Linked DNA regions of Mus musculus. The protein of the gene in region 4 interacts with the protein of the main gene of each other region in a pairwise test. Links are inferred from orthologs where the notes say so. Each region holds a gene or a part of one and is shown on either strand. Other genes may lie near its edges.

Evidence for each region.
Region 1: the proteins of Kash5 (region 4) and Gpr25 interact in binary tests that used the Homo sapiens proteins (3 or more experiments, as listed by UniProt). The two-hybrid records come from large-scale screens. The link is inferred for Mus musculus from reciprocal best matches to the Homo sapiens genes KASH5 and GPR25.
Region 2: the proteins of Kash5 (region 4) and Cybc1 interact in binary tests that used the Homo sapiens proteins (3 or more experiments, as listed by UniProt). The two-hybrid records come from large-scale screens. The link is inferred for Mus musculus from reciprocal best matches to the Homo sapiens genes KASH5 and CYBC1.
Region 3: the proteins of Kash5 (region 4) and Bag5 interact in binary tests that used the Homo sapiens proteins (3 or more experiments, as listed by UniProt). The two-hybrid records come from large-scale screens. The link is inferred for Mus musculus from reciprocal best matches to the Homo sapiens genes KASH5 and BAG5.
Region 5: the proteins of Kash5 (region 4) and Tmem11 interact in binary tests that used the Homo sapiens proteins (3 or more experiments, as listed by UniProt). The two-hybrid records come from large-scale screens. The link is inferred for Mus musculus from reciprocal best matches to the Homo sapiens genes KASH5 and TMEM11.
Region 6: the proteins of Kash5 (region 4) and Traf3ip3 interact in binary tests that used the Homo sapiens proteins (3 or more experiments, as listed by UniProt). The two-hybrid records come from large-scale screens. The link is inferred for Mus musculus from reciprocal best matches to the Homo sapiens genes KASH5 and TRAF3IP3.
Region 7: the proteins of Kash5 (region 4) and Bet1 interact in binary tests that used the Homo sapiens proteins (3 or more experiments, as listed by UniProt). The two-hybrid records come from large-scale screens. The link is inferred for Mus musculus from reciprocal best matches to the Homo sapiens genes KASH5 and BET1.

What each region holds. Positions count from the first base shown.
Region 1 is NC_000067.6:136,258,414-136,262,199, reverse strand, and holds Gpr25 (probable G-protein coupled receptor 25), read left to right. Parts: upstream 1-1,273; 5' UTR 1,274-1,326; coding exon 1,327-2,403; 3' UTR 2,404-3,286; downstream 3,287-3,786. UniProt on the Homo sapiens protein: Orphan receptor.
Region 2 is NC_000077.6:121,226,510-121,230,555, reverse strand, and holds the start of Cybc1 (cytochrome b-245 chaperone 1), read left to right. Parts: upstream 1-1,246; 5' UTR 1,247-1,517; intron 1,518-1,615; exon of another isoform or gene 1,616-1,712; coding exon of another isoform or gene 1,713-1,789; intron 1,790-2,085; coding exon of another isoform or gene 2,086-2,143; coding exon 2,144-2,228; intron 2,229-3,271; coding exon 3,272-3,313; intron 3,314-3,713; coding exon 3,714-3,787; intron 3,788-4,046. UniProt on the Homo sapiens protein: Functions as a chaperone necessary for a stable expression of the CYBA and CYBB subunits of the cytochrome b-245 heterodimer. Controls the phagocyte respiratory burst and is essential for innate immunity.
Region 3 is NC_000078.6:111,710,457-111,714,594, reverse strand, and holds the start of Bag5 (BAG family molecular chaperone regulator 5), read left to right. Parts: upstream 1-1,338; 5' UTR 1,339-1,551; exon of another isoform or gene 1,552-2,068; intron 2,069-3,182; 5' UTR 3,183-3,207; coding exon 3,208-4,138. Other genes in the region: Coa8 (cytochrome c oxidase assembly factor 8), read right to left, coding at 1,177-1,302. UniProt on the Homo sapiens protein: Co-chaperone for HSP/HSP70 proteins. It functions as a nucleotide-exchange factor promoting the release of ADP from HSP70, thereby activating HSP70-mediated protein refolding.
Region 4 is NC_000073.6:45,202,093-45,206,344, reverse strand, and holds the start of Kash5 (protein KASH5), read left to right. Parts: upstream 1-1,452; 5' UTR 1,453-1,641; coding exon 1,642-1,753; exon of another isoform or gene 1,754-1,902; intron 1,903-4,252. UniProt on the Homo sapiens protein: As a component of the LINC (LInker of Nucleoskeleton and Cytoskeleton) complex, involved in the connection between the nuclear lamina and the cytoskeleton.
Region 5 is NC_000077.6:60,876,239-60,880,436, reverse strand, and holds the start of Tmem11 (transmembrane protein 11, mitochondrial), read left to right. Parts: upstream 1-1,398; 5' UTR 1,399-1,668; coding exon 1,669-1,724; intron 1,725-4,198. UniProt on the Homo sapiens protein: Plays a role in mitochondrial morphogenesis.
Region 6 is NC_000067.6:193,181,047-193,184,546, reverse strand, and holds part of Traf3ip3 (TRAF3-interacting JNK-activating modulator), read left to right. Parts: coding exon 1-80; intron 81-2,529; coding exon 2,530-2,665; intron 2,666-3,178; coding exon 3,179-3,241; intron 3,242-3,500. UniProt on the Homo sapiens protein: Adapter protein that plays essential roles in both innate and adaptive immunity. Plays a crucial role in the regulation of thymocyte development.
Region 7 is NC_000072.6:4,080,431-4,083,930, forward strand, and holds part of Bet1 (BET1 homolog), read right to left. Parts: intron 2,153-3,500; coding exon 2,028-2,152; intron 1,206-2,027; coding exon of another isoform or gene 1,002-1,205; exon of another isoform or gene 1-1,001. UniProt on the Homo sapiens protein: Required for vesicular transport from the ER to the Golgi complex. Functions as a SNARE involved in the docking process of ER-derived vesicles with the cis-Golgi membrane.

The DNA.
Region 1 (3,786 bases), on a different chromosome or scaffold from region 4:
CAGGCCACAGCCTGCCAGTGTCTTCCTGCATGTCTCAGTATACTTGCTTTTTTATCCCTTCCTGGGCTGGCTCATCCTCTCTGCTTTGCCATTCCTTTTGACCTTTAACCCCTTCCTAGACCCGACCTGAACTGTCGCCCCTTCTGCGGACCTTTTCCCCGAAGCATGAACAGCTCCTCCTTCTAAGCGCTGAGTGGACGTGGTTTTAAACCTGTACCACAGTTTGACTGATGGCAGGCTGGCCGTTGCACACACAGCCTGTGTCTCTCCCCTCCTCGAGAAGGGATCTGAGGTCAAGAATGCATTTCTTGCAATGCAGAGGAAGCCAGTGCCTGCTGCACAGAGAGGTCCCCTGAGAGTGGAATGGGAAGGAACAAAGCTTAGACATCCTGCACCCCTTTAGCCACAAACCCTTTCCCATCAGTTCACAAGAACTCTCAGAGCTACTGTCTCATGATTTAGAATAGCAAATCTGTTGGATTGTTAGGGGCCATTTTGTGTCATCTTTTGTATAGAGGTTATAACCCTGTTTGACTTATCAGCTAGATTTTGAAGTATGGGGAGGAGGAGGAGGAGGGTTAACCCAGGGGCCTGGCCCCCTTCCAGCAGGGCCACCTGATTACACTTTCTGTCTCTAGCTTAGACCCTTTCCACACGGCTCCATGAGGCCTGGACCAGGACAGAAGTGTCACTCCAGGTGACACGTCTAGTCTTTTATCCTAGGAGGCTATTAATTAGTCCAAGAACTGTGGTGCCAATTCTTGATCGGGCACCAAGGGAATCTCCCTCAACCTTCAGACCCCTTCAAGTGCTACACAGCAGAGCAGATTAGAGAAGGAAGCCGAGGCGTTGCCCTCCCTCAGAAACCCTCATGCCTGGTCTGTCTCCCCACCCTCCACCCCCCCTCTAAAAACTAGAAAAGAAACGCCTGGTGAGAATCGAGAACAGGTTAGGGCTCTACGGCACCCACTGCCCCTTGCACCCTATCTCAGAGTCCCACTCCCTTCCCCCAGATACTAGGCCAAGCACCCAGAAATGATGAGCCACCAATTCTGAGTGGCCGCAGTTCTCTCAGCCCTAAGGACATCTCACAATACCCAGTTGTGCCCTTCCCTTTGGGTCAGCCCCAACTTGGAAGGTAACATCACCACCACAGAGGCCTGCCCCTCCCAGCCCCACACTCTTCTCACCCCAAAGCCTCGGCCTAGGGTGGCAGGAAGGGAGGGAGGGAGGTGCTGGGCACAGGCTGTGAAAAGCAAACCCCCTCCTGCTCAGAGAGGGCAGCCGCCCTGCGCCAGGATGCACGCCGGCCCGGTGACCCCGGCCATGCAGTCCACCGAACCCTGGAGTCCTAGCTGGGGCACGTTGTCCTGGGACTATTCGGGCTCGGGCTCCCTGGACCAAGTGGAGTTGTGCCCTGCTTGGAACCTGCCTTACGGCCACGCCATCATCCCAGCGCTCTACCTGGCGGCCTTCGCCGTGGGCCTGCCGGGCAACGCCTTCGTGGTGTGGCTACTGAGCCGGCAGCGCGGGCCGCGGCGGCTGGTGGACACCTTCGTGCTGCACTTGGCGGCCGCCGACCTGGGCTTCGTGCTCACGCTGCCGCTGTGGGCCGCGGCAGAGGCGCGCGGCGGCCTCTGGCCCTTCGGCGACGGCCTGTGCAAAGTCAGCAGCTTCGCGCTGGCGGTCACGCGCTGCGCGGGCGCGCTGCTGCTGGCGGGCATGAGCGTGGACCGCTACCTGGCGGTGGGCCGGCCGCTGAGCGCGCGCCCGCTGCGGAGCGCGCGCTGTGTGCGAGCCGTGTGCGGCGCCGCCTGGGCTGCGGCGTTCCTGGCGGGTTTGCCGGCCTTGCTCTACCGGGGACTGCAGCCGAGCCTGGACGGCGTGGGCAGCCAGTGCGCCGAAGAGCCCTGGGAAGCGCTCCAGGGTGTCGGGCTGCTGCTGCTGCTACTGACCTTCGCGCTGCCGCTGGCTGTCACCCTGATCTGCTACTGGCGCGTGTCGCGCCGCCTGCCGCGCGTCGGTAGGGCCCGGAGCAACTCCCTGCGCATCATCTTCACCGTGGAGAGCGTCTTCGTGGGCTGCTGGCTGCCCTTCGGCGTCCTGCGCTCCCTCTTCCACCTGGCGCGGCTCCAGGCGCTGCCGCTGCCCTGCTCCCTGCTGCTGGCTCTGCGCTGGGGTCTGACTGTCACCACCTGCCTGGCTTTCGTCAATAGCAGTGCGAACCCGGTCATCTACCTCCTGTTGGACCGCTCATTCCGCGCCCGGGCCCGGTTCGGGCTGTGCGCGCGCGCCGGGCGCCAGGTGCGCAGGATCAGCTCGGCCTCCTCGCTCTCCAGGGACGACAGTTCGGTGTTCCGGGGCCGGTCCCCGAAGGTGAACTCTGCCTCGGCCACTTGGTAGCCTCCCCGGGATGGCGCAGGTGGAACGGTGCTTCAAAGAGAGGAACCATGTGCTTGCAGATGCGCCAGGGGACTGCCCATCAGCTTTCTCGGAGCTGGCTGTTGGGGCTGGCTGTTCTCACAAACCGATGGGGAAGGATGGGCTATTATATTAGTTTTCTCCAGGGCAAGAAAAGCTGTAGACACTCACCTGGAGAAGCGGGTTCACCTAGTAGATGGGAGGGAAGTGGGTTCTGTTCTCTGCTTCATTCTGTGTAATTCAGCCCAAATATCCAAACCAGACTCTCAAAGGTCCTTCTTGCTCCTGACTGTTCTTGCCCCTACAAAAGCCATTGTCCTTTGAGGAATTTCTTCTCCTGGTCAGCCCTCTAGCAACACCATCTCAAACACCTCTCCCTTCCCCTCCCCTCCCTCTTCCCCTCCCTCTCCCTCTTCACCTCCCCCTCTCCCTCTCTCTCCCTTTTCTCCTCCCCCTCTATCCCCTCTCCCTTTCCCTTTCCCGCTCCCCTCCCTCTTCCCTTTTCCCTCCCCCTCTATCCCGCCCCCCCCCCTTCTCTCCAGTCATCACTATGTTATCTATATTGTTTCTCATCCCCAATTCGGGTTTTCGTTTTCAAAGGCTCACGAAAGACATGGAAACTAACCCTAGCGTGAACAGTCCTGTGAGCAATTTGGTCCTTCCCACCCATTACCTCACACTGGTGTGGCAACCCTTCTCCCATCTAGAGACACCTGTGGGACTCGCCCTGAAAGTAGTTCTGGCCTTCCTTCTGAATGCTGGCATCTGAATTTTTTCAGTGGGTGTTCAGATTTTCCCTCACTCAGCCAGGGACCCCAGGTTTTTCTGTGAACACACATCTCAATAAAAACTTTTGTTGGCCCTAGTTGGCAACCGTGTCTTGATTTGAACATCGAGAGCGAGATGGGTGTCAGAAGGGTGTGTTACACAGTCAGACAAAGCTCAGCTCAGTAGTTCAGGCCCTTCAGGGTGATGGTTTGTGTGACCCTGGTACTGGGAGCGCCAGCTGCACCTGCGAGTGTGGTACTCTCAGCGGGCAGAGGATGACTTAGTCTCATTCTTTTAAAGGACATCGCACATCGAGATAGTGACAAGATGAAAGGAAAAAATGAGGAAGATGCACGGCATCTGCCTGCCAGGTGCCATTTCAAAGAAGAGATGTGTAATTTTGATTTTTAAATGTGGTCCAGGCTCCCCACCCCCACCCCCACACTCTGGGAGCTTTTCCAGTACAAATGTTTAAAATTAACCGTTTCAGTCTCTGGTTTATCCTTTGAGGCTTCCGGAAGGCTTAGAAAGTAAATGTTTTTACTTGAGAGGATTTAGCCTACAAACATTTTGATCAGTGAGGGAAAGACATTCCCT
Region 2 (4,046 bases), on a different chromosome or scaffold from region 4:
GCTACAGTGTATTCCTATACATAAAATAAATAAGTAAATATTAGAGAGAGACTGCCTCATCCAGTTTTCTCAGTATATACTGTAACTATAAATTGACAAAACTTCAAGGGTCATGCTGTGTACTTTTATAAAGTCATTATAAAATTAGGAATCCCATAACAAGTAGATCTAAAGAGAACGGTAAAGTAATGGAAATCTCTGCTCCAGCATGCCGTCCTAGCACCCACAGATCATCGTAGGTATGTTGGAGGCAAACTACAAAATAGGAACATGTGATCCAGGTTTTACGTCACTAGTTATTGTGTGTTAGGTCTGAAAGAAACCGGGGACAAATGGCTAACTGAGGTGCCTATTGACCATCAAAGTAGATGATGGCCATGCTCTCAGCAAGTACCTGTTACAGAGTCCTGACTCCTCAGCTCTTGCCCACTACCCTAGACCTCTCTAACCCTGCCCAAGCCCCTGCCTTCCCTTCCCTTCCCTCCCCTCAACTCCCCTCCCCTTCCCTTCCCTTCCCTCCAACTTCTCTTTGCCTATAAAACCCAGACATCGTGACTACGTGCTGACATCTGACATCGTGACTACGTGCTGTCTGCCCTCTTGGTCTTTTGTCTCCATCTCGCCTCTCTTCATCTCTTACTCTGCCCCTCTCTCTTTCCTCTCATGGCTCTATTCTGCTGGACATGTTCAACCAGACGCTTCCATATGTGCTTTCCCTCACATTTACAATAAGAAACTCGTCAACAATACCTAGGAGTGGCCATGTCCCCACTTTCATTTATTGTGCATCTTTTGTTAGATTGACCTCGGGTAGTCAGATCATGTTTGCTATACCTTAGGCATCTGGTGAATATGACCTCTTATCATTTCCTGAAAATTACAGATCTAGCCAGGAGGCGGTGGCACACACCTTTAATCCCAGCATTCGGGAGGCAGAAGCATGAAGATCCCTCTGAGTTCCAGGCCAGCCAGAGCTACACAGAGAAACCTTGTCTGGAAAACCCAAAAAACCCCCCAAAAACAAACAAACAAAAAAACCCAATCCAGATCCACTCACTCCCCAGGCTTCTAAACCACGCCCATATCCTGCTTAACTAGGAAACCTCCTTGAGTGACATCTTTCTTGGTTGGCCAAGGGGCTAAATTCAGGTGCCCTACCTGTCCCTGTCCCCAGGAGTGTGAAGCACAAAGGCACAACCCCCGACTGCGTAATCACTCAGTCTCCACCCCTGGGAGGTTCCCACCCAGCTCTTATCCCGGAAGTCTGCGGAACAGAAGTCCGGAAGTTCGAGGGGCTGTTCTCTCCCACTCATTCTCCTACAAGTCCCTCGTTGTCCGCATAGGTGCGTGTCCTACAACTTTTCGGGTTCCGACCCGCCGAGCCCTGTGCGGGTCATCGCTTGCGGATCTGGACCAGGCGCAAGGCAAATTGAGGAAGCCGGGCGTGTGCACTCCGGAGGAGGAGCCAGCGTAACGGGCCGCTAGTGGAGCTTGTTGGTAACTGAAGCCAGAGGGAGGCAAGTTATGTGCCTAACTAGGATTCTTGAGGATGTAGGGTATGAAGCTTGATTGCCCCTGGGAATCCAAGGAGCCACTCAGAACTGGGGCCTTGGGTGTTAATCTCCAGACGTCCTGCCGCAGTGTCCCATTAATTCGGCGCATTTGGGCCATTGTTAGGTAGTCTGGCGTCAATAACAGGGATCTGACAGCTTATGAATGTAGAGACTCATACACGATGGTACTTTCACTTCCCGTTCTTGGTGGGAAGAGTTGTTTCTGGAAGATTCGGGTAAGGTGCCGGAAGCCTGAGTTGTGTGTGTGTGTGTCGGGGCGGGGGAGGGGGAGGGGGCTTACTAATGGAACAACTTAAAGATAAGAGTTCAGTCAAGAAAAGGGTTCACAAGACTGGGGGCTTGGAAGTGAGTTCAGACCAACACCAAATTTGTGAGCTGTGTAGCCCCGATGCCCATACATAATTGTGAGTTAAGTGGGCTCATAAGAGAAAGGTGTTCGGGGTCTGCTGTGGACCTTCCCCTGGCCTCCTGACTGGACTAATGAGGTGCTGCCTATGTGCACTGGTTGCAGGCTTCAGTTGTGTTTTTCCAAGCCTGGTCGGCTGTGCAGTAGAGCCCAGGTTCCAAGAATGTATATGCAGGTGGAGACACGCACCAGCACCCGCCTCCATCTGAAGAGGGCTCCAGGCATCCGGTCTTGGTCCCTGCTGGTCGGTAAGGCTTCCCACCCCCCACCCCACCCCCAATCTAAAAAGCGACGTAAACAGCTTCTTTGTGTTCTATTAGAGGTTCTCAATACAAGGCCTTGATAAAGCATGTTTCATTAACCCTCAGGGTGCCTTTTCTTTCAGATGGCATGCAGGACCGACCCCCTTGCATGCTAGGCACACTCTAACACTGAGATACCCTCCCTGCCTTGCAAGCTGGGCACACTTCTTTAACACTGAGATGCCCTCCCAGCCTATCTGCTTTTTATGAGGTCACTATAGTTTTCCTTCTGTGTGACAGGTGATCATGGGTTCCCATCTTTCCTCTTCCCTGGCTCAGACCTCTTCATAAGCGCACTTAGCCTCTTCCTCCATCGCTGCCTGTCAGAAGGCTCTTGTATCTCAGGGACAGGTGCACTTGTGTTGGCTGGGCTGTACAGTCTGAGGTGAGGCACTAGCTGTGGCTTCAGCAGCATCTCTGCAGTCTGTCCTTATGATATACACATGCTTTTCTGCATGTTATGCTCGGGTGTTGTTATAATTCTGTAAGTAGTCTTCATCCCTCATCCCATGTAAGCAATACCTACCTCAGGGTCATTTGTGCGTTTGTCATTTGTTTGCAGACAAGTCTGGTGAATGCCATGATGGGATATCTTGCTTTTTATTTAATTTTATTTTTAAACTATGTGTGTATCTATATGGGGGTTCTATGCAGGTACGTATAGGTGCCTGTGGAATCCAGAAGAGCATTAGCTCTCTTGGAGCTGAAGTTGCATGAGGTTGCGATGGCCTGACATGGGTGCTGGTGCTGAGTACTGAACTGGGTCCTCTGCAAAAGTAGTATATACTCTTAATCAGTAAGCCCTCTTTTCCAGTCCCCTTCTCCTCCGTTTTGAAACAAACATCTTAGCTGGCTCACCAACTCTGTACTAGGTAGCCTCTACCTGTTGCCCCTGAACAAGCTGTGCTACCATGAGACAGCTATAGCACTGTGAAGAAATGGGTCTTCCCTTGGCTAGTTAACAAGGTACTCTCTCCCTCTCTCTACAGGAATATTATCCACTGGCCTGGCTGCTGCCTATTACAGTGGAGGTAAAGTATGTTCTCCCCTTCAGCTTCCTTGCACTTGGAAATGAACAAAAAGCAGTCTTGGTGTGTGTGGCTTTGGGGTGGCCTTGTGTGGGAGATGATCCCAGGCCATGTCTTGTATCTTAAATCTCTTACTGTGTTACAAAGTCCTCTTGTAAAGCTCTTTAGCATTTGCCTGTCACCTTGCAGGGAGGATGTGTCCCATCTCCATGGCAAGGCTGTATCGATCTACCCATCCTCTAGGTGGAATTAGGCAGAGTTTGGGGCTTAAGTAGCTCCGGTGACAGAAGCACATTACCTAAGCCTCTAATCTGAGCCAAAAGAAAGGTTGGGCTGGGAAGGACCACCTATGGACATCACCTTGGCTCCTGAGCTAATGAGCTGATATACTGTCTGCTTGCAGATAGTCTGGGCTGGAAGCTCTTCTATGTCACAGGCTGCCTATTTGTGGCTGTACAGAACTTGGAAGACTGGGAGGTAAGATGGAACAGTAGGACCCTTCCCGTTCAGAAGCACCTGCCCCAGCTCAGAGGCATTCAGTTACCTGGACTCAGCCCTTCCCTTGATTTTGCTTGTAAACATCTCTGGACTTTTCTAGAAAAGCTACTCACAACAGTTTTCACTAAGGTTCTATGTAGTGTGTTTTGTTATGTTGCAGGCTTGCCTCAAACTCAAAAGAAAGCCAATTGCCTCAACCTTCTGATGGGCATAAAACACCCCACTTGGCGCACAGTAG
Region 3 (4,138 bases), on a different chromosome or scaffold from region 4:
TTTTTTCTTGTGCCAGGAAACTGAGCCAGAGGCCAGGGTCCTAAGGCAACAAATCTAAACTGGAGTAGTCAGAACTTCAAAGCTAAAAGTGTGCAAGGAGACACAGCATAGCAGAGATGAAAATTTTCACAGCAAGCACATTTTGCAATTCTTAATTTTCTCCATCTCTCTTCTCTCTCCTCATCCCTCCTTCCCTCTCTTCATTATTGCTTAAACCAAGCTCTCTAGTCTCTATCACTAGCTTAGTGGTCATTGAAGTGTTAGTAGCCACTGATTAATGTTTTACCTCCAGCCTTAGCGTTTTCATATGACTGATAGACTCTAAACCTAGGCCTTTTTTTTTTTTTCCCGAGACAGGGTTTCTCTGTGTAGCCCTGTCCTGGAACTCACTCTGTAGACCAGGCTAGCCTCAAACTCAGAAATCTGCCTGCCTCTGCCTCCCGAGTGCTGGGATTAAGGCGTGGGCCACCACGCCTGGCAACCTAGGCCTTCCTTAAGCAAAGCATTCTGTTGCAAAGAAGTGCAACTGAGGGCTGGTGAGATGGCTCAGTGGGTAAGGGCACCTGACTGCTCTTTGGAAGGTCCAGAGTTCAAATCCCAGCAACCACATGGTAGTTCACAGCCATCCGTAACGAGATGTGAACTCCCTTTTCTGGAGTGTCTGAAGGCAGCTACAGTGTACTTACATATAATAAATAAATAAATCTTAAAAAAAAAAAAAAAAGAAGTGCAACTGACTAAAAAAAAAAAGCTTTATTTAGTTTTATATATGTGAGTGCATTGTTACTGTCTTCGGTGTTCCTAACAGCTGAACCATCTCTCCAGCCCAGCAATTGTTTTTTTGAAAAAGGCTTCACGCCCATTCTTGCTGCAGACCTGCACTGTGGATCTCTGACATCGCGTGCACGTTTACAAACAATGCGAAGTCTACAGAAGTGGGATGATGAAGTCAGCCACGGCTTTAAGTCGAACACTAATCTTAACGATGCGAAAATGAGAAAGAACACCCTTCAAGAGCTGTGTTAATACAAATGGGAATTAACTCGGGGATAAGCAAGGCTCGCGCTCTCCACAGCGGATCCCGGGCAGTGATCATCAGTCCGTCGGAGAGGTGCAGGCGGCGTGGGTTTGCTCGGCGGCCTTCCTCCCTGCCAGCGCCCCCGGCGTCCCGCTTACCCGGCTGGACGCCGCATCCCTGTGATCCGTAGGGCGCTCACGGGCCAACCTAACGCCGCCGCCGCCGGAGAAGGACCGGCAGAGAAGCCGGCGAAGCGCTCTGCTTCCGGGCCGCAAAGCCGCCATGGCCCGCGCGTACGGCAGGATCGCGACAGTGGAAAGGTTGGCGTTACGGCGGCGTCGCAAAGCCCGAGCCGACGCGCGGCGAGGCCGACCGTGCGCATTCCCTGGGACGGACGCCGGGCGGCGGGGCCCGCGCGGGACGAGGAGAGGACAAGTTTTCCCCGGGCTCACTGCTGACGGGCCCGCTCTGCGAGGACGGCGACAACGCTGCGGAAGTGTAGGTGGCGGGGCGCGATGGCGCGTGCGGCCCAGGTGAGCGTGGGGCGAGGGCGCGAGCTCCGTTCTCCCGGCCTCGGGCGCTCCGCCGCCCTCGCTGCGCAGGCCCGCGCCCGCCGCGCGCCCATTGTGAGGTCAGGCGGCGGCGCGTCCGGCCGGGCCGAGACCCGGGAGCGGCCGCCGCGGCCAGTAGCTGCCGCCGCCTCCGCCGGCCCCTTCACCGGCTGCCCGGGTCAGACCTAGCCGGGAAGGGCGAGGGGGGATGCCGCTGGGGGCACCGCTGCGGTGCCGCTCCCCGTGAAGGGCCGATCTCCCACCTCGCAGCCCCCCGCGGCAGCCAAGACCGCCGCCGCCCAGACCTCCCGGGGTAAAAGCTCTGCGAGGGCCGGGCTTGGACCCTCCCGGGGACTGAGTTCTGTGGCCTGCCCGCCAGAAGTGAGCTGTTTGACAGAAACCTGAGAGCGTGGGAAATGCTCTAAGCGCACATACCGGGAGGCGAGTGACCGAGTTAATCGCAGTCGGCAGGTTTGGGCGGCGGGTATTTGAAGTCAGGGTGAGGATTTGGAAGTTTCGTAGCTCCTCTTTCAGAAAAGTAGAAAGTTAGCTAGCTGTCTGGACGAATGGTGCTCCTGTGAGTGTGGAAGAGCTACTGTTAACTTCCAAACTGGTTCCAGAGAGTAGATTAGGATGGGGGGGGGGGGGATCTAAGGAAATTGTGTTGCTAACCTGGTGGGTTGACTAGAATGGCAGTGTACGCAGCTCGCTCTCATGGTTTAAGACAGAATTCATAGGCCTAGACATCCACCCAGGCTGGATCATGAGGACCTTCTGTCTGTCGTTCAAATCCCTACCGTGTTCCCCTATTTCCGTTTTGCTTTGAATTCTTAGGGTCACCAAGTAGCCCATGGTGATCTTGAATTCGTAGTTCCCTTTCCTCTGTATCCCCGACGCTAGGATTGTAGGGATACACCAGCACACCGGTGAGCTTGCTTTGTTTTGTTCCTGTCCAGCTGTTTTCAGGAGAGGGAGTTGACATGTCACATCTTCCCTTTCCTCAAGCAACCTTTTACACCTTTGACGAAACCTTTTGTGTATTTTGGTGCATGCCCAGGTGCCAGAGTTTGGCCTCCCTGCCCGCCCACCATCATTTCCTTGGTGTCCTTTGACTTTGGCTTTTGAAGTGGGGCTTCCCATGGTCCTGAAGGTCCTCGGTTAGGCTAACCTGGGCTGGCCAGTGAATCACGAGATCCATCTATCGCCGTCTCCCCGGCACTGGCTTGCCTGGCTTTTCTGTTTTACTTCATGGGCGTTGGCGCTTCGCCTGCATGGATGTCTGTGCATCACTGTGTGCCTGGTGCCTCTGAAGACAGAAAGGGAATCAGATGCCCTGGGACTGGGGTTACCTGTGTGGTCATGCACTGTCATGTGAGTGCTGGTAATCAAACCCAGGTCCTCTAGCCAGCACCTTTAACCACTGAGCCCTCTCTCCAGCTCCGCCCCAGCTTTTTTTTTTCCACATGTGTTCTGGAATTCCAGCTTGGACACTTGATGAAAAATTATCTCCACAGCCCGAATGAGCCCTTTTAACAAGTGTACTAAGAAGGAGTGTTTAGAGTGGGTTCTTGTCCTGCAGAGACTAATACGTTATCATTCTTGCTATCTTTCAGTGCTTGTGAAACTGAACACAGAAGTATGGATATGGGAAACCAACACCCCTCCATTAGTAGGCTTCAGGAGATCCAGCGGGAAGTAAAGGCTATAGAGCCGCAAGTGGTCGGCTTCAGCGGCCTGTCGGATGACAAGAACTACAAGAGGCTGGAGAGGATTCTGACCAAACAACTTTTTGAAATTGACTCTGTGGATACGGAAGGAAAAGGAGATATCCAGCAAGCTAGGAAGCGGGCGGCACAGGAGACAGAACGTCTCCTCAAGGAGTTGGAGCAGAATGCCAACCACCCACACCGCATCGAAATCCAGAATATCTTTAAGGAGGCTCAGGCCCTTGTGAAAGACAAGATTGTGCCCTTTTACAGCGGAGGCAACTGTGTGACTGACGAGTTTGAGGAAGGCATCCAGGACATCATTCTGAGGCTGACGCACGTGAAGACCGGAGGGAAGGTCTCCTTGCGGAAAGCCAGGTACCGCACGCTCACCAAGATCTGCGCGGTACAGGAGGTTATTGAGGACTGTATGAAGAAGCAGCCGTCCCTGCCACTGTCTGAGGATGTGCATCCTTCAGTGGCCAAAATCAACTCTGTCATGTGCGAGGTGAACAAGGCCAGAGGGACGCTGATCGCACTTCTGATGGGCGTGGACAGTTCCGAGACTTGCAGGCACTTATCCTGCGTGCTGTCAGGACTGATTGCTGACTTAGATGCTCTAGATGTGTGTGGGCGTACAGAGATCAGAAATTATCGGAGGGAGGTGGTGGAAGATATCAACAAATTACTGAAATACCTAGACTTAGAAGAGGAAGCTGACAGTACACATGCATTTGACCTGGGACAGAACCATTCCATTATAAAAATAGAAAATGTTCTCAAGAGGATGAGAGAGATAAAAAATGAACTTCTCCAGGCGCAGAGCCCTCCTGAGTTGTACCTGAGGGCCAAGACAGAGCTGC
Region 4 (4,252 bases):
GGATTTCCAAGAGTCTGAGAACCCCACAACCCTGGCCTTGTCACAGGCCTGGGACCCCAGAAGGAGCTCTGGCTTTCCCACCCTGGGAGCAATGTCACTTCCTTACAGCCCAGCATCCACCCCAGAGGCAGTATGGGATAAGCCCAGTCAAACTCCCTGCTTCTGTGTCCTGAGTGGCCTGCAATGTGGATGCTGGGAATCCATCTCAGGTGTTCTGGAAAAACATCCATTGCTCTTAAACAGTGGTCTATGTTTCCAGCCCCAGGAATGGATGTTGATAATAGGGACAAAGCTAACAGGGTCCAGAATGCACCACAAGTTGTCCTGAAAACACCCGGCAGACCTTTCATCTAGACCAGGCGTCCTAGTTTGCTTTCTACTGCTGCGGTGCGTGAGCACCACGATCAAAAACAACTTGGGGTGAGCACCATGATCAAAAACAACTTGGGGAGTCTATTTCATCTTGTGATAGATCACAGTCCATCACAGAGAAGAGGCAGGGTAGGGGCTCGAAGGAGGAACTGAAGCTTGCTCAGGGTTTTGTTTTGTTTTTTTTCATACAACCCAGAAGCACCTTCCCAGGGGTGGTCTTGCCCACAGTGGGCTGCCATCCACATCACTCATTAACCAAGAAAATATCCCCACAGGCTTGCCTACTGACAGGGTAACTTTTCAGTTGAGGTTTTCAGATGACTCTGGCTTTTGTCAAGGCAACAAAAAACTAAACAGCACACACAGGGTCTGATGGTCAGTAAGGTGAGAAAGACCTTGCACTTTTTGCCTCTACCTCCCGAGTACTGGTACACTACCCTGCCCAATTCACTAGGCCCTAGGGATTGAATGAGGGCACCCTCAGTCAAACACCGTACCCCTGAGCTACATGCCCAGTCCTTATCATTACATGCATGTGTTTTTAAACAGCAAGGGGTAGGAAAGTGAACATGATAGGGTCTGCATGTGGAATTCAGGGGCCCTCCTTGCACCATGTGGGTCCTGGGGATTCTTCTCAGATCGATCACCGGGATGGGTGGCAAGTGTCTTTACTCTTTTTTGGTTTGGTTTTTTTTTTTTTTTTTTTTTGGCTTTTTCGAGACAGGGTTTCTCTGTGTAGCCCTGGCTGACCTGGCACTCACTTTGTAGACCAGGCTGGCCTCGAACTCAGAAATCTGCCTGCCTCTGCCTCCCAAGTGCTGGGATTAAAGGCGTGCACCACCACGCCCGGCTGTTGGACCCTTAATAATAAAAAAGTTCGAATAGTCCACAGGCATGGACTGAGGCAGGGTGATTGCTTCAAGTCCGAAGCCATCCTGGGCTACATAGCTAAGCAGTAAGTAGAAACTATAATAGTTTGGGAAAACAGCTTGGGTACCTATTAATGCGGGGGGCGGGGGGGGGGGAGGGAATGGAGCGGAAGTGAGGCTGGACCAGACTGCGCATCATTGTGACAGTGGCGGGCGAGCCAGACCCAAAAGAAAGAACTTGGTTCAAAGACTGACAAGAAGAAAAGGATGAACAGGGAGTCCTTCGGTTGAACTCTCTCCTGCTTGGCCCTATTTTGTCAAGCAGAAGGAAAGGATTTTTGTACCGCAGAAGAAAGCTGCCGATAATATCGCGCCATCACCGCTAGCCCCACTAGTGCGCATGCACTCGATCCTCAGGTCCAGCCTATCCTCCCGAGAAGCTCTACGCATGCGCCAGCTCAAGGGTCTTCGTAAGGAGAGACCCGGGCGCCATCCACTCGGAGTGCGCTTGCGTGAGTACAAGAGCCTGAGAGGGCGGGACTTGCAGGAGGCCGGCTCATTTGCATTTCTGGCGGGAAAAGGCGCGTGTGAACACGCCTCTTCCGTGACATTCGCAACCGCCGTTCGTCGCTGGTGTCCCTCAACTGAGTCCCGACTCCAGGTACGCCCTGCCTGTGGCGACTTTCATGGCAGGTTCCCCGGTAACATCACCTGCCAGCTCCTTCAAAAACGCCCCAAGTTTTGAGACAAGGTTTCTCTGTGTAGCCCTGGCTGACCTGGAACTCACTCTGTAGACCAGGCTGGCCTCGAACTCCGAAATCCTCCTGCCTCTGCCTCCCGAGCGCTGGGATTAAAGGCGTGCGCCACCGTGACCGGCTTCCTCAGGAAAATTCTAGTGGCAACTTCGGCAATCCTGTCAGACTCTTGAAACTTCCGGTTGCTTTTTGTTGCTTGTTTTCTATTTTTGTTTGAGACAGACCCTCCAAGTGCTGCCCAGGCTGGCCACGACCTCATGATCCTCATTCCCCAGTTTTAGGATTACAGCTCTCCCAGATGTGCCCAACTGCAATCTTCTAGAACTTTTGAAACCTAACACTTAATCTATTTTGTTTTTGTGGGTAGGGTAGGTGTTTTTGTTTTGAGACAGGGTTTCTTTGTGTAGCATTGACTGTCCTGGAACTCTCTCTGTAGACCAGGCTGGCCTGTGTGCTTCTGGTTCCCACGTGCTGGGATTAAAGGTGTGCACCACCACTGCCTGGCTTTTGTTTGGGTGTTTTTGGTTTTTGTTGTTGTTGGGGTTTTTTGTTTGTTTGTTTGTTTTTGAGTATTTTGCCGGCATGTTTGTATGTGTGTCAGGTATGTGCCTGTGGAGACCAGGTGGTTTTGTATCCCTCTGAACTAAAATTGCAGATGAGGAGGAGTTCACATGTGTGTAGTGGGATTCCAACCCATATCTATCTGGAAGAGTAAACTGTTAGTCCTCTTAACGACTAAGCTACCCTCCAGGGACTCTCTAGGGCTTCAGTAAATTGCCCAGACTCTACTCAAAACCTTGGATCCTGCTGCCTCAGCCTCCTGAGTGCTGGTATCACAGGTGTAGCCCACCACGCCAGCCGCTAGGATCTTCTAGATATCCCATCAGAGTCTCCCTCAAAAACCTGTCAGAGACTTTTCCTCTGAAATCTTGGTGGAGATTTGGTGTTCAAGTCCTATCTGATACTTTAGAAATCTGTAGTTGCCCTACAAGTTCCGCCGGGGACTCTGAAATCTAGTGACACCCCAGAAATGCAGCCCTTGAATTCTAGTCCAGGGATCCCCTCCAGACTTCCTCCATGTTTAAAACCCACAAGACACTCACTGGCCACCTGATATCCCTTGTTCCTCAAGATTTTGTCCGAGTTTCCCCTTGAAAGAGTCTCAGAAAGCCTCTTCTTTCCCTGGTGCCTTCTAAAAGCCTCTGAGATGGACAGCAGGAGGATCCCCACTAGCTGAAGACCAGCCTGCTTTACACAGCTTCAGAAGGCCCACTACAGCTAAAGCTACATAATATATATTTACTAAGTCCCTGTCTCCAAAAGCCAGATAATAATGTCTCCAGAAAACATTCGGCTGCCGGAATACAGGCAAGGCAGAGTGATGGCTGCATTCCCTGAGGAAAGGGAGAGAGGCTGCTTCTCTCCCCTTCGGTGACAAAGATATAGGCTGGATCACTCCAGATTCAAAATAGATTAAGGCGGGCTTACGAGGAGGCATCAACCTCCACCCACCTCACACGTGGAGATCAGTGAAGTCACACATCCAGGCTAAGCTTAGCAAAGGTGTTTTATAAAGCTTAGACGGGGAGTGATAACGTGCCAGCTAGGGGCTGGGATTATGTCCTTACATGGTCAAAAGCTGAGACCCCGGGGGCGGGGGGGGGGGGGGTTGGCACTTATGGGTGGATAGCTGGAAAGTGGAGAGGAGAGGTGTTAGCCCCAAGTTTTGTCCTTGTGGGCAGAGTTGAGGGGAGAAGAGCAAAGGAGGTTTCTTAGCTTTTGCAGGGGATGAGCAGGGGTTCCAAACAAACAAAGGGGAGCCAAGCAGGAGGAAACCCAGGCTCTCTCTACCCTTGGCCCCAGTCCCTAGAGGGACTACTGACAGTGCCTCCTTTTCTCCTGAAAGTGACTGGCCAGTCGGGCGTGGTGGCCAGCACTAGGGAGGCAGAGGCAGGCAGATTGGATTTCTGAGTTCGAGGCCAGCCTGGTCTACAAAGTGAGTTCCAGGACAGCCAGGGCTATACAGAGAAACCCTGTCTCAGGGAAGAAAAAAAAAAGTGACTGGCCAGGCTGTAATAGAGGCAGGACAGCACTGTCAGGGTGCAGAGGAGGGAGTCCCTGTGACCACAGAAGCCTGTGAGAGTCAAGCCCACTCATAAATATAGGCCTTGGGAGTGTCTGTAAAGATGTCTCAGTGGTAAAGAGCACTGAGTTCAATTCCCAGCAACCACATGGTGGCTCACAACCATCTGTAAT
Region 5 (4,198 bases), on a different chromosome or scaffold from region 4:
AGCTTAAATGTGGGCTTGGCAGTCCCTGGTCAGTACACATTGTTTTTTGCTCATACTGCAGTAGGGCTGAGAAAAGGGTTCAGACATCCCCTAGGCAGTGGCTATAGGGTAATGGGAAAGAGAACACGCCCCTGCACCTTTTTTGTTTTGTTTTGTTTTGTTTGTTTGTTTGAGACAGGGTTTCTCTGTAGCCGTGGCTGTCCTGGAACTCACTCTGTAGACCAGGCTGGCCTCGAACTCAGAAATCCACCTGCCTCTGCCTCCCAAGTGCTGGGATTAAAGGCGTGCGCCACCACTGCCCGTCACCCCTGCACTTTTATCAGGTTCCTAAAGAGCTGAGAGCTTTCTCACAGATGTTCCTGGGTAGTAGAGTGTAGTTAAGGAAGGGGGAAATGGGAGAGAAAACATAGATTTTTACCTCCTGGCTGAGTCACAGGGACCACCTACATAAGTTCCTAGGTTCTTGTGTCTCAGGACAAAGAATTGTATCAGAGATGCATAGTTAGCAATAGAGGCAATTTACTTAAAAAAAAAAAATTTACAAAGACACTCAGGTAGGGAATGGGCTAGTGATCTGGAAGAATGCATAACCTGAAGTCCTTAGCCATTACCTGCCTTCTCCAGGCCAAGTTTTTCTCTTGCATGCTGTTTGTTATTGAGTAATCCAGGCAAGGAAGGGATCCCAGGCACTATCAACTGGCATTGATTGATTGATTGATTGTGTCTGGGTGTTTTGTGCACTACACGTGTGCTGTGGTCGTAAGGCCAGAAGAGGGCGTCAGACGTTACTGCAATAGCTGACTGTTGTTAGCTACCACGTGCCAGAAACTGATCCACAGTCCCCTGAAAGAGCCGTTAGTGCTCTTAAGTACTGAACAATCTCCGCAGCCCCCTCATACCTTATTCTTGACGTCTCTCTACACATCCCTATTCTTTTGCCACACTTGCATGTGTTACGAGTTTGGCAATCGGAGGCGGAGTTGCATATTCAATTTGAAAACCAGGAACTTTATAGAAACCAGACAAGCATAAAACCTGACTGGGAGGAAAAGGCGTTTTAGGGCAAGCACATCTACAGACCTTCAAAATCTCTGGATTTGTCAGCCGGGCAAGTTCCGGTCAGGAGAGGGGGGCAGTTGACGCCGCGGAGGCAGAGGTAACCTTCGGACTGAAGGTGCACGAGTTCTGGTCTGCAGATGGGAAAGGAGAAAGGTTAAGCTGCTCAAGTCATTGTAAAGTGTGAGAACTGGGGGACTCAGGCCCCCAGCGGCCGAAGCCACGGTGAAGGGCAACAGGGCCGAGGCCAAGGGTTGGGCCTCTCAGGCTGTGAGGGCGGGATCGTCGCGCGAAGCGCTCTGGGAGTGGTAGGCGCTTTCTTTCCGCTCTCCTTCAGCCACTCGTTCTGGGAGCCCAAGGACGTCCAGGCGGTGGGCGCAGCGACTCGCACTTTGCGACTTGAAGACTCTTTCCTAAGGCGGATCCCACCCCCTCGCCCTCTTGCGCGCGGCAGCTTACAGCAGGCTTCCGGCGTGAGGTATTGTGGGCAGTGTAGTCCTTCTCGCAACCTCCCACCTCGTCCGCGCGGCTCACGGGACTACGTTTCCCTTCGGCTCCCGCGCGCCCTGAGCCGCGTCGGCTCCAGCCCCCGACGAACCGAGAGTCTCCAAGATGGCCGCGTGGGGAAGGAGGCGTCTGGGTCCGGGCGGCGGCGGCTCCCGAGAGAGGTAAGCTGGGCTCGCGACCGCGGGCGAAGGTCGACCGCAGAGCCGGCGAAGCCTCTGTGCCACGCGCGACTCCGGATCGTGTGCCCGCCACGCGCGGGGCCCAGTCCGCGGGGGCTTAGGTGTGGGAGGAGCGGGGCGGCGCGACGGCCAGGAGCGAGGGGAGCGCGACTCGGAGGGGCGGCGACCCGCAGCCGGGTGGGCGGTGAGCCAGGGTGAGTAGCTGCGAGGGCCGCCACGCTGTCCTACCGAGCGTCCTGTGGGCTCCGGGCCGCTGGCTCGCGCACGTGGCCCGCTCGGCCTGGGCGCCCGGTGTGGCGTGGATGGGCTCCGGGGAGAGGAGGAGGGTAGAGGCTCGCGGCGCCGTGTGCTTTATAGGGGCGTTTGCTGAGAGCGGCAGCGTGCCGGGCGCGCCTCCAAGAGCCTGAGCCTGGCCGCCTTGTGAGCGAGCAATCGTCGCCACTTTTTGAGGGTTCTCTTCGAGCACTTCTGCCCTAAGTCCTTTGTAGTGACCTTTCCTACTGAATGCGTTTGGGGGCGCTAGGGGTTTTGTTTCTTCCAGTGATTTCCGGATGACAAGAGTAGTTGACGTGTTTCGGGTTGAACTTGTAGCCTTTTCCTTCTGGGAATTATTTTTAGCTAATAGGTTACTAGAAGCTGTTCAACGATAAGAAGTTTGGGGAGGTGGGTGTATATCGGTGGCGCTACTGGATTAACCTGCCCAGTCGGTCTTGCTAAGTCCTCCGCATTTTACTGTGGATGTCAGAAAAAGGAAAAGAAAAAAAAAAAAAGCAAAGTTTGACTTTTTCCCCTCCGTTTCCAATGAGTACTGTCAACCATAAAAGTTGTGTCTCAACTAATCTGCGTTGTTCCTTTTTGACTGACGCATCCCATGTTTCTTGCTATTGCATACGACAGCTTTTCCATCCCACACTAGTCTTCCTGCTTGGCAGAAGTGGTAGCCAGTTTTACTCCTGAGTTCGGTTATGCTAAATAATCCGTTCTGCGTTTACTGTGACATGGAAAAGCAGTGGCGAGGAGTGTTTGTTTGTTTGTTTGTTTGTTTGTTTTTTCCCTAACTCCCACTTATTTCTTAGATAAGAACAGCCAGAGAGGTTATCTTGTTTTCCGAGTCCTTAAATCCCTAAGGATGCTTTCAGGATTTTAATTTCAGCCCAACAGAAGGGAAGAACTTTCCTAATATTTCTGTTTGCTTGTTTTTAGAGCCACGTGTGTAGAGTCATTAGAGTTACTGTGTAGCTCTCTCTGGCTGTTCTGAAACTCACTCTATAGACCAGGCTGGCCTTGACCTCACAGAGGCCCGCCTACCTCTGCCTCCCAAGCACTGGGAATAAAGGTTTGGGCTACTGCACCCTGCCATACTCTTGTTCTTGGACACAGACTGAAAGGGCCAAACATGCATGCCTCAAGTGTGAGACAGGAGTCTTGCTAGCCTACCTAAGAAAATGGAGAATTTTTCCTTTGTCTTGAAACAGATATTAATTAAAAGCAGTTTGTCAACCAACCGCCCATAGTTTAGTCCAGGCCTTGCTGGTTGTGCTGCAGCAGCCTTTAAGGGAGTTTAAGTCCAATGCAGACAGAACTCACTGTGAAGCTAGATAGGGAGTGGTTCTCCTCAGAGCCACTGGTGCTTGTTTCTCACTGAAGTCTTAACTAGGTAAGGTTATCGTCCTGGGTCCTGTAGGTGTTCAGGTTGTGACCTTTGCCCAGGAATTGAAGGTTCTTCCCAAACATGCAGGTGCTGTATGTCTGCCAGGGATGGGCGTCTGATTTTATGATTTGAGAGTTGCCATCTGCCCTCCTTCTGGTGCCTGGAGGTTACTCCTCTGTCGGCCTTTATGGGAAGGGCCCTTCCAGAGAGTTCATTCTCAGAACCCCATCTCCGTCAGGCCTCCCACTCTAGGCTGTGTGTGGAAACACACTCCCTCCTGACTAGCAGACTGACTTCTGGGCGCACCTCCATTGCTGCTTGGTGGCCTGACAGGATGGAGCAGACCAGAATAATGTACACTCAGCACCCATAGATTGTGAGCACCAAGTGTTGACTCTGTGACACAAGCTGTTTGTGCCTTCTAAGTGACTCTGTTCCGTGTCACATTTGGACTGACTCAAATTTCAGCTTCATGTTGAGAGAGAGCACTTCCAGAGTTCTTCACACCTTCCTGCCCCTGCCCTGTGCTGAAACCAAAGGGGATGCTGTGTGCTTTGTGGCAAGGCTGGAATGGGCAGTGCTTTGAACAGACACTGTGTTTGCCAGTGGCTGCATACTCTGGTGCATATGTTATATTTAAGGCCCCACTTTGTGCTGGTTGTCAGCTTAGTTTGCAGTGGTTCTTGCTGTGCCTGTTAAGTCCAGAAACACAGGCTAGTACTAGAGCTGAGTGACAGCAGTTCAGTAGCTGCTAGCCATGTGTGGCGATTACATTGAAGTTAAAATTAAGTACAGTGAAAAGTGT
Region 6 (3,500 bases), on a different chromosome or scaffold from region 4:
TGAAGGAGGACTGGAGGACCCTAGGGGACCAGCACAGAGAGCTGGAGAGCCAACTGCATGTGCTTCAGTCCAAACTACAGGTACCAGGCCCGGCAGTGGGAGAGGAAGGGAGGCAGAAGGGGGGAGAGGGGTCTGCTGAGAAAGGAGTCTCCTAGGTTGGGCCTCAAAGGTTGGATACACGTAACAAGCAGCTTTCAAGTCTTCATCCACTGCCCACTTAGTACCAGACTCACTGTTTTGCTCTGAATCATAAGTGCGTATAGAGGGAATGCCTACACTGTCCATGCAAATGAACTAAGTACCCACTGGAAAGACATTAACCAAATACAAATGCCTGAGTTGGGGCATTCATTGGGTTGATTGGCCTACCAATTGCACACTATTCAAACACCACCCCAGCAGGGCACTCAGTGCATAACTGCCCATTGTTTTGTACATAATAAATGTTACTGGTTTATTTACAGGTACTAACACATCCTGCTGGTGTGTTTCTTAATAAATTTCAGTAAATTCTTGTCATGCTCAAAAGTTCCTACACTTTCAATCTGCCACCTTAGAAAATCTAATTAATCTACATTAATTAATTAATGTAGATTAATTGATTCATTTATAATTAATTTAGGGTCTTTTGTTGCATGGATTAAATGTGACTACTCACACAACATGTGTGGCATAGTCTGGTACATATGAGCACTTCACTCGGGTTAGTAATTACATGGAGGCCTGACATTCCACGCTCCCCAAAGCATAGGAATTAATCCACTTGGGCCAGTCAATCTTCTGGCTAATGAACCACCCCTCAGGAAGGCAGATTCACTTTAAGCCATGCCAAAGAAGGAAAAGTAATTATTCTTTTAGTGAGATCATGTACTTCCCCTTCCTAGAAAGCCTGAGCCTGGTGTGGTCACTCACAGAGTCATGGCCACGCTACTTGGTCAAGCCTGACCAGTCCTCTGAATTTCTCAGAAAAATGTAACTTTTCTTTTTCACATCTTCTTTCTTCCTAACCCTTGCTGAAGCCTAGGTGTGCTTCCACAACACTCCTGGCTTTCTCACTCTTCTTTGATGTTACCCTCTCCGCATCCCCTTTGCCATATGGCTGCGTGCCAAACTGCCGAATCCCCATCCCTAACTCAAAAGGCATGACTTTCTTTCCCTCTTCTCCACCTTTATCCTCCAGGCAGCTGCTGACATTCACAGGATTCCCAATCTGCCTCTGTTGTCATTATTACTGTTTTTGGCTGTTTTGGTTTTTTTTGTTTTGTTTTGTTTTGTTTTGTTTTTAGTCTTCTTCAGAATCTGCTCTTAATATTTTTAATGTTAACCATCTTTCTTATTTTTATTCTCAAGATTCTAATTACATTTCTCCCTCCTTCTCTCTCCCTCCAAGCCCTCCCTATCTCCCTCCTAGCTCTCCTTCATGTTCACAGCCTCTTTTTCATCAATTATTATTTAATGCATATGTGTGCATGCATATATATCCCTGAATATAATCTGTTGAGTCTATATGTTACTTGTATGGATATTTTCATTACCTATAGTTCTCCGTGTAGGATTGAGGCCTCATGGGCTCTCTCCCTCATCTAGTTTGGCACACCCATTGGTGGCCTCCTTTTCCCTTCACATTTGGGCAGCCATGTTGGTGAGACTTTATGGGTATTGCTTCTGACATTACTAGGAGGCACAATCTCACAGAAAACTCCCTGATCTTACAATCTTTCTGCCCCCTCTTTTGCAATGTTCCCTGAGCCTCAAGTATGGAGTTATTTTATAGCTGTATTCATTGAGACCAGAATCCACAGGTATGCATTTTGATTGATAGTGGTTTTCTGTAGTGGTCTCCATCTGTTTCAAAGAGAAGTTTCCTTGATGTGTTCTTAACAAATCTAAGAACTCAGAGAGGAGACCCTATTTCCCTAGTAACATATGGCACCCCAGGTGAGCCTCCCCAAAATCTCCAGTTAACACATAGATTTCACATACTTAGTTTGAAACTTTGAAGATCTGCCCTAAGAGTGAATCTTTACAATTTCCCCAAACATGAATCAGGAAAATATATATATATATTTGATGAAAGAGGGTGTGAGACATTTAGAGGCACAAATTTTACTGGCTACACACAGCATCCACATCTTAACCTCTGCTCTCTTTTCTCATCATGCATAAGGCAATTCTTAGGAAAGTGTTTTGAGGTTTTTAAACCTTAATTCTTTGTGAAAATAGCCTTAACTGCCCCTCTCCCTCAACAACTGGTCATGCCAAAGTAAAAAGAAAGTAAAACATCTAGAAAATTCTGGCTTGATGTGGAGATCTGTCAAGGCATCGAGACATACATATCCCCATAAATATCAAGTCAGAGGCACTGCCATAAACATGCAGGATAGGGCAGAACAAAGAGAAGGGGAGAGCTTCCATTTCCTGACACCCCATCTCAGTAATCCTACTGTGTCCTGTTCCATGGTACCTGTCTGCTCTGTCGCCAGCCACACTGACCTGCTGCTCTGTGGCTCCTCTCCCTCCTCTTTGCAGGGAGCAGACAGCAGAGACTCACAGATGAGCCAGGCCCTGCAGCTTTTAGAAAATGAGCACCAGGAGCTGCAGACCAAACTCGAGAGCCTGCAGGGAGACGGAGAGCAGCAGAGCTCTGAGACCCAGGACCTACAAGGTACTCCTCTTCTTTGAGGTCACAGGGTCATTAGAACCACAACTGAATGGGCTCAGAGGAAGGAGGCTATGGGGAGAAGCTTTGCTCCTCATTTGTGCTTGGTCCCATGATTTCATTTCTCCTTGAGGGAAAGGCAGAGAAATGTCAATCAACCAAAATGAACCTTAGTTGTCCTTCATCTGAGGACTCTGCATGCTCTCTCCTCCAGCTTGACCCTGTGGGCCATACCACAGCTGCTCCCATACTAGTCACATGCAAAGGCCATATTCCTAATTTGAAAGGGAAAGGTTAGTACAAACACAGGCAAGATGAAGGCCTCCTAGATGTGCCTCTGTGGGCTGAAAGGACCCACTAGTGTGTGTACACAATATTGTGATGTTCCTGTGTGAATGCTGGCCTCTCCCTTCAGATCTGAAAGACACCTGACACTCCCAGGTCACAGAGGACAGGACTTACCTCTCATTTCCACCCTCTGGTGCTCTCCTATTTCTGTTTGTATTCTTTCGCTTTCAGATCAACTAAAGAAGTCAGAGGAAGAGAAACAGGCCCTGGTGAGCAAAGTACAACAGCTACAGAGTAAGTTTCCTTTTCAGGGTTCAACCTGCACAGGTGGTTTCTGTTGCTCCTGACCACAGAAGACCTTCGAAGGAGGGAGGGCTGAGCCATGGAGGCTTCAGTGTGTCCTGTTTCTGAGCATCCTCGAGCACACTTCCTGCAAGGGGCTGGGCTGAGGGATCATCTGCACAACCCTCCACAAGTTATATGGTTTCTTTCCCATGTTATTACATTAGCATCTGTCCTTGTGTTTCCTTTCTATGTGTGTGTGTGTGTGTGT
Region 7 (3,500 bases), on a different chromosome or scaffold from region 4:
TAGTCCCCTAAAAATAAGGCATTTCTTTGAATTTAAGTCTAGAATATTTTTTAAAGACTTTTGATTTAATATAATAAATTGTGAACTCCCTTAAAAGTTATATATAACCTAAAATTATACTGAAAGAATCTGAGCATGTCAAACAACAATATAACTAATTATAGATGCTCTGCAAAACCATACTTCATAACTTATACAACAAAGTCACCAAAGGTTTACACTTACTTGACTAAATACAATTACGGAAACTTTTTGTGTGTAACCATAAAGGTTCTTCTAAATTTAGTCTGTTTGAAAAGCATACATAATACTTTTATGAAGTTATATTAATATTATAGCAATAAGATATGAAGTTTTCCCCCAAATTTCTCAGCTCAGATGATAAAGCAGGATCCCAATTTACCCAACTACTCTGAGCATGACCTTCGTGCCAAGGAAAGAACTCGCCAGGATATCACAGCTTTCTTCTAACACAGAATTGTCCTAATCAACTGGAGGAATTTGCTCCCTTGTTTGTGGTTTAAGACATTCAATTCTATGTCCTTCCCATTGTTTAACTTAACTTTTTAACAGTCCACCTTATTAGGTCCATAGATTGAATCATTTTAGTTAAGATGACTTTGGAAATAATACCATATATCAAAACACTATTTTGAGTACAACCTGAATATAACTTTCCAAAGACTGATATTAAATACCAATTACATGAGACAATGTGAATTTCTATTGAATGCTGCACAACTGTGTAATATGTTTATTGCCATGGAAAACCAATGGCACATACTTTTAAAACCATCTTGTATAATTCCTTCAACAGAAGTTTACCAAGTCCTGCTGAGAAGGAACTACACTGAATGTGTGTCACAAATGATCTTTGCTTTATAGGGAGTGAGCTAACACTGGATGTAGTACTGAGAGAAAGCCTGGGGAGGGGCAGATACAGTACTGCCATCTTCCCGGAAGATGGAAGATGGCAACAGTACCAAAAGCAGTTTGAGTTTTTAAAAAAATGGAATAGGGCCACAGTGGTATGCAGAGTACAAAAGAGAACTCTCATTTGTCTGGCCGTAAACCCATATGCATTCTGGATGTGTCGGGGAGAAGCTCTGAAGGACAGGCCATTCTCTGAAGAACATGTAGAGAGAGCAATAAATCCACAGAGCAGTAACAGAAGAATCCAAAGACTTCTGAGAGGGCAGGATCTGCTGCAACGAAATTTTGCCAATAGCTGTGACAACATTATGAAGATCAAGGGGAATGATACAGGTCCAAGGATTCTCCCATGGGTCTACACATAAATGTCAGGGCCATGTTTAAGAAACATGGGAAGACCCAAATTCAAATGAGGATCAAAGATGGAAGTGAGAAAGCCACTAACAGAAAATGCTGGAAGGGCTACTTCACTGGATTCCCCAATGCTCTGACCAGTGAAATTATTGGAAAACAAATTTCAAATGTCTCATTCTTTTAACAGTGACATTTTCTCTCGTCTTTTCTTTATAATATTCAACCTACTTGTTAACATTCTCTGGTTCTCTTATTCTAGCACATTTTCTCTTTTACTTATATAAATGTATTTACCTGTATATTCCTTACATTTTACAACATACAAGTACCACAGGACTAAGTCAAATGCACACATACACATTTAATATTTTCCTTACAAAATATGTCATTTCTTTGATCGTAAGTCTAGACTAATTATTCTAAATTTTTTTCTTTACTACAACAACAAGTAGGGAAAATTACAAGTTAGCATTTCCTATAACCTAAAATTATACAGAAAGCATGCCTGGAACCATTGGACCTATGGCATATAATGTATGGTACATTTTAGATTTTGCTAAGTATGGTTTGAGAAAAAAAATTTAGCAAGAATACTGTATCTTTTAACTTATTTAATGAATGGTCTGAACTTTTGGTGCACTTTGACCTCAGTGCACCATTCTGAAATGAATCCCTTCTTGTGATGACATTAAGTTCAAACCTATGAGTTACAATGTGAATGGCACTGGTTCTGTACTTACAGATTTTATAGCCGTTACTTTGCTTCTCAGACTTTCAGTGAGTCTGTCATTCTCTTCTTCACAAGCATTATAACCAGTATTGGCATAGCCATAGTTCCCATAGCTGCCAGGAGGTGCTCCATCACCTACAAGGATCAGAGGCACACATGTAGGACTGCAAAAGCAGAAGCTACGTCTAAACCTTAGTAGTTAAAAAAAAAGCTGAAAAAGACCCTCTGAGCGCATTGCAGACCACATATATCTACTATAGCAACACTTAAAATCAACTATTAAAATCAGAACCAGATATTACAATAATTCTTTTCACATCCTCTTTTAAGTAGAGCATGCATTTTCTTCAATAAATATTTATTGATCATTTACTGATTGCTTAAAAAAACACTAAAACAGGCACAGATACACAAGAATATTTGGAAGACATTTGTTGCACACTAGAAATTTGTTTTAATAAAGGACATAAACATAGCACCATCTACCCATCAGAGAAACTTGGTTCTAAGAAGAGAGGGAGAAAGATAATTGGTGGGGGAAGGGTTCTCATGGCAGAAAGATGGCGGAATTTTCCTAGCATGTTTTCCTATAATAAGCAAATGGTGAAAACCAAAGAACAAAGGGAAGAGAGGGCCATAGGTGAAACCCTGGAGAATAGACACAATGGCTTGTAGAGGCCATTAGCTGGGAGTCTAAAGAAGTTCACTCATCTTCCAACCAATGTTTGAGACACTACCATATGTCTAATCTATTTTTACTTTTACAGAACTTGCGCTCTTGGAGATGATGTGGAAGATAGAAGAATCCATTACTGTCTACTACAGTACTTGGCAATTGCAGGGAAACAACAGGTACAGTGAGCATTAGGCAACAAATTCATACAGAAATGCTTGGGCACTGAGGGCACTTCACCAAGCGTTAATAACCCGATGGCATCATTTTCTTTGTAAAGGAAGAAAACAAGCTGCAGAGTAAAGAAAAGTGATCCCTTAGAATAAACAATCATGAAAGAATGGAGACCCAAACCATCCCATATTACCAAGAGAATAAATTAAACATGGCCGCGGCAGGATACTGAATTGGCTTCTGCCCTCCTAGATATGAGATTCTCAACAGAACGACTCCTTGGTCTCAGTCAGCCGTTGAGAGGCCACCCTGTTGGATGGCTCTAGAACTGAAAGCTTTAATATTGGGACCGCAGAAGAACAAAGCGCACCAACTTTAATGTAGTGGAAGTGACAAAAGTGTGTAGTATGTATTAAAGGGACAAGATTGTCCATGGCTGGAAGCAGATTCTCTAATAACCTAGGAAGATAGAAGAAAGGGATACCCTTAAAGCTAGAGGATACCGTAGGCTCAAACAGCAAATGCAGTAGCAATGATAGTAAGAACAATCATAGTGACAACCGAGAGAGTGGGTAGCAGTAAGTCTAGTAGCTGAAGAATGGTTACGTGTGAATAAGAAACTCTTTCAAAGCACAG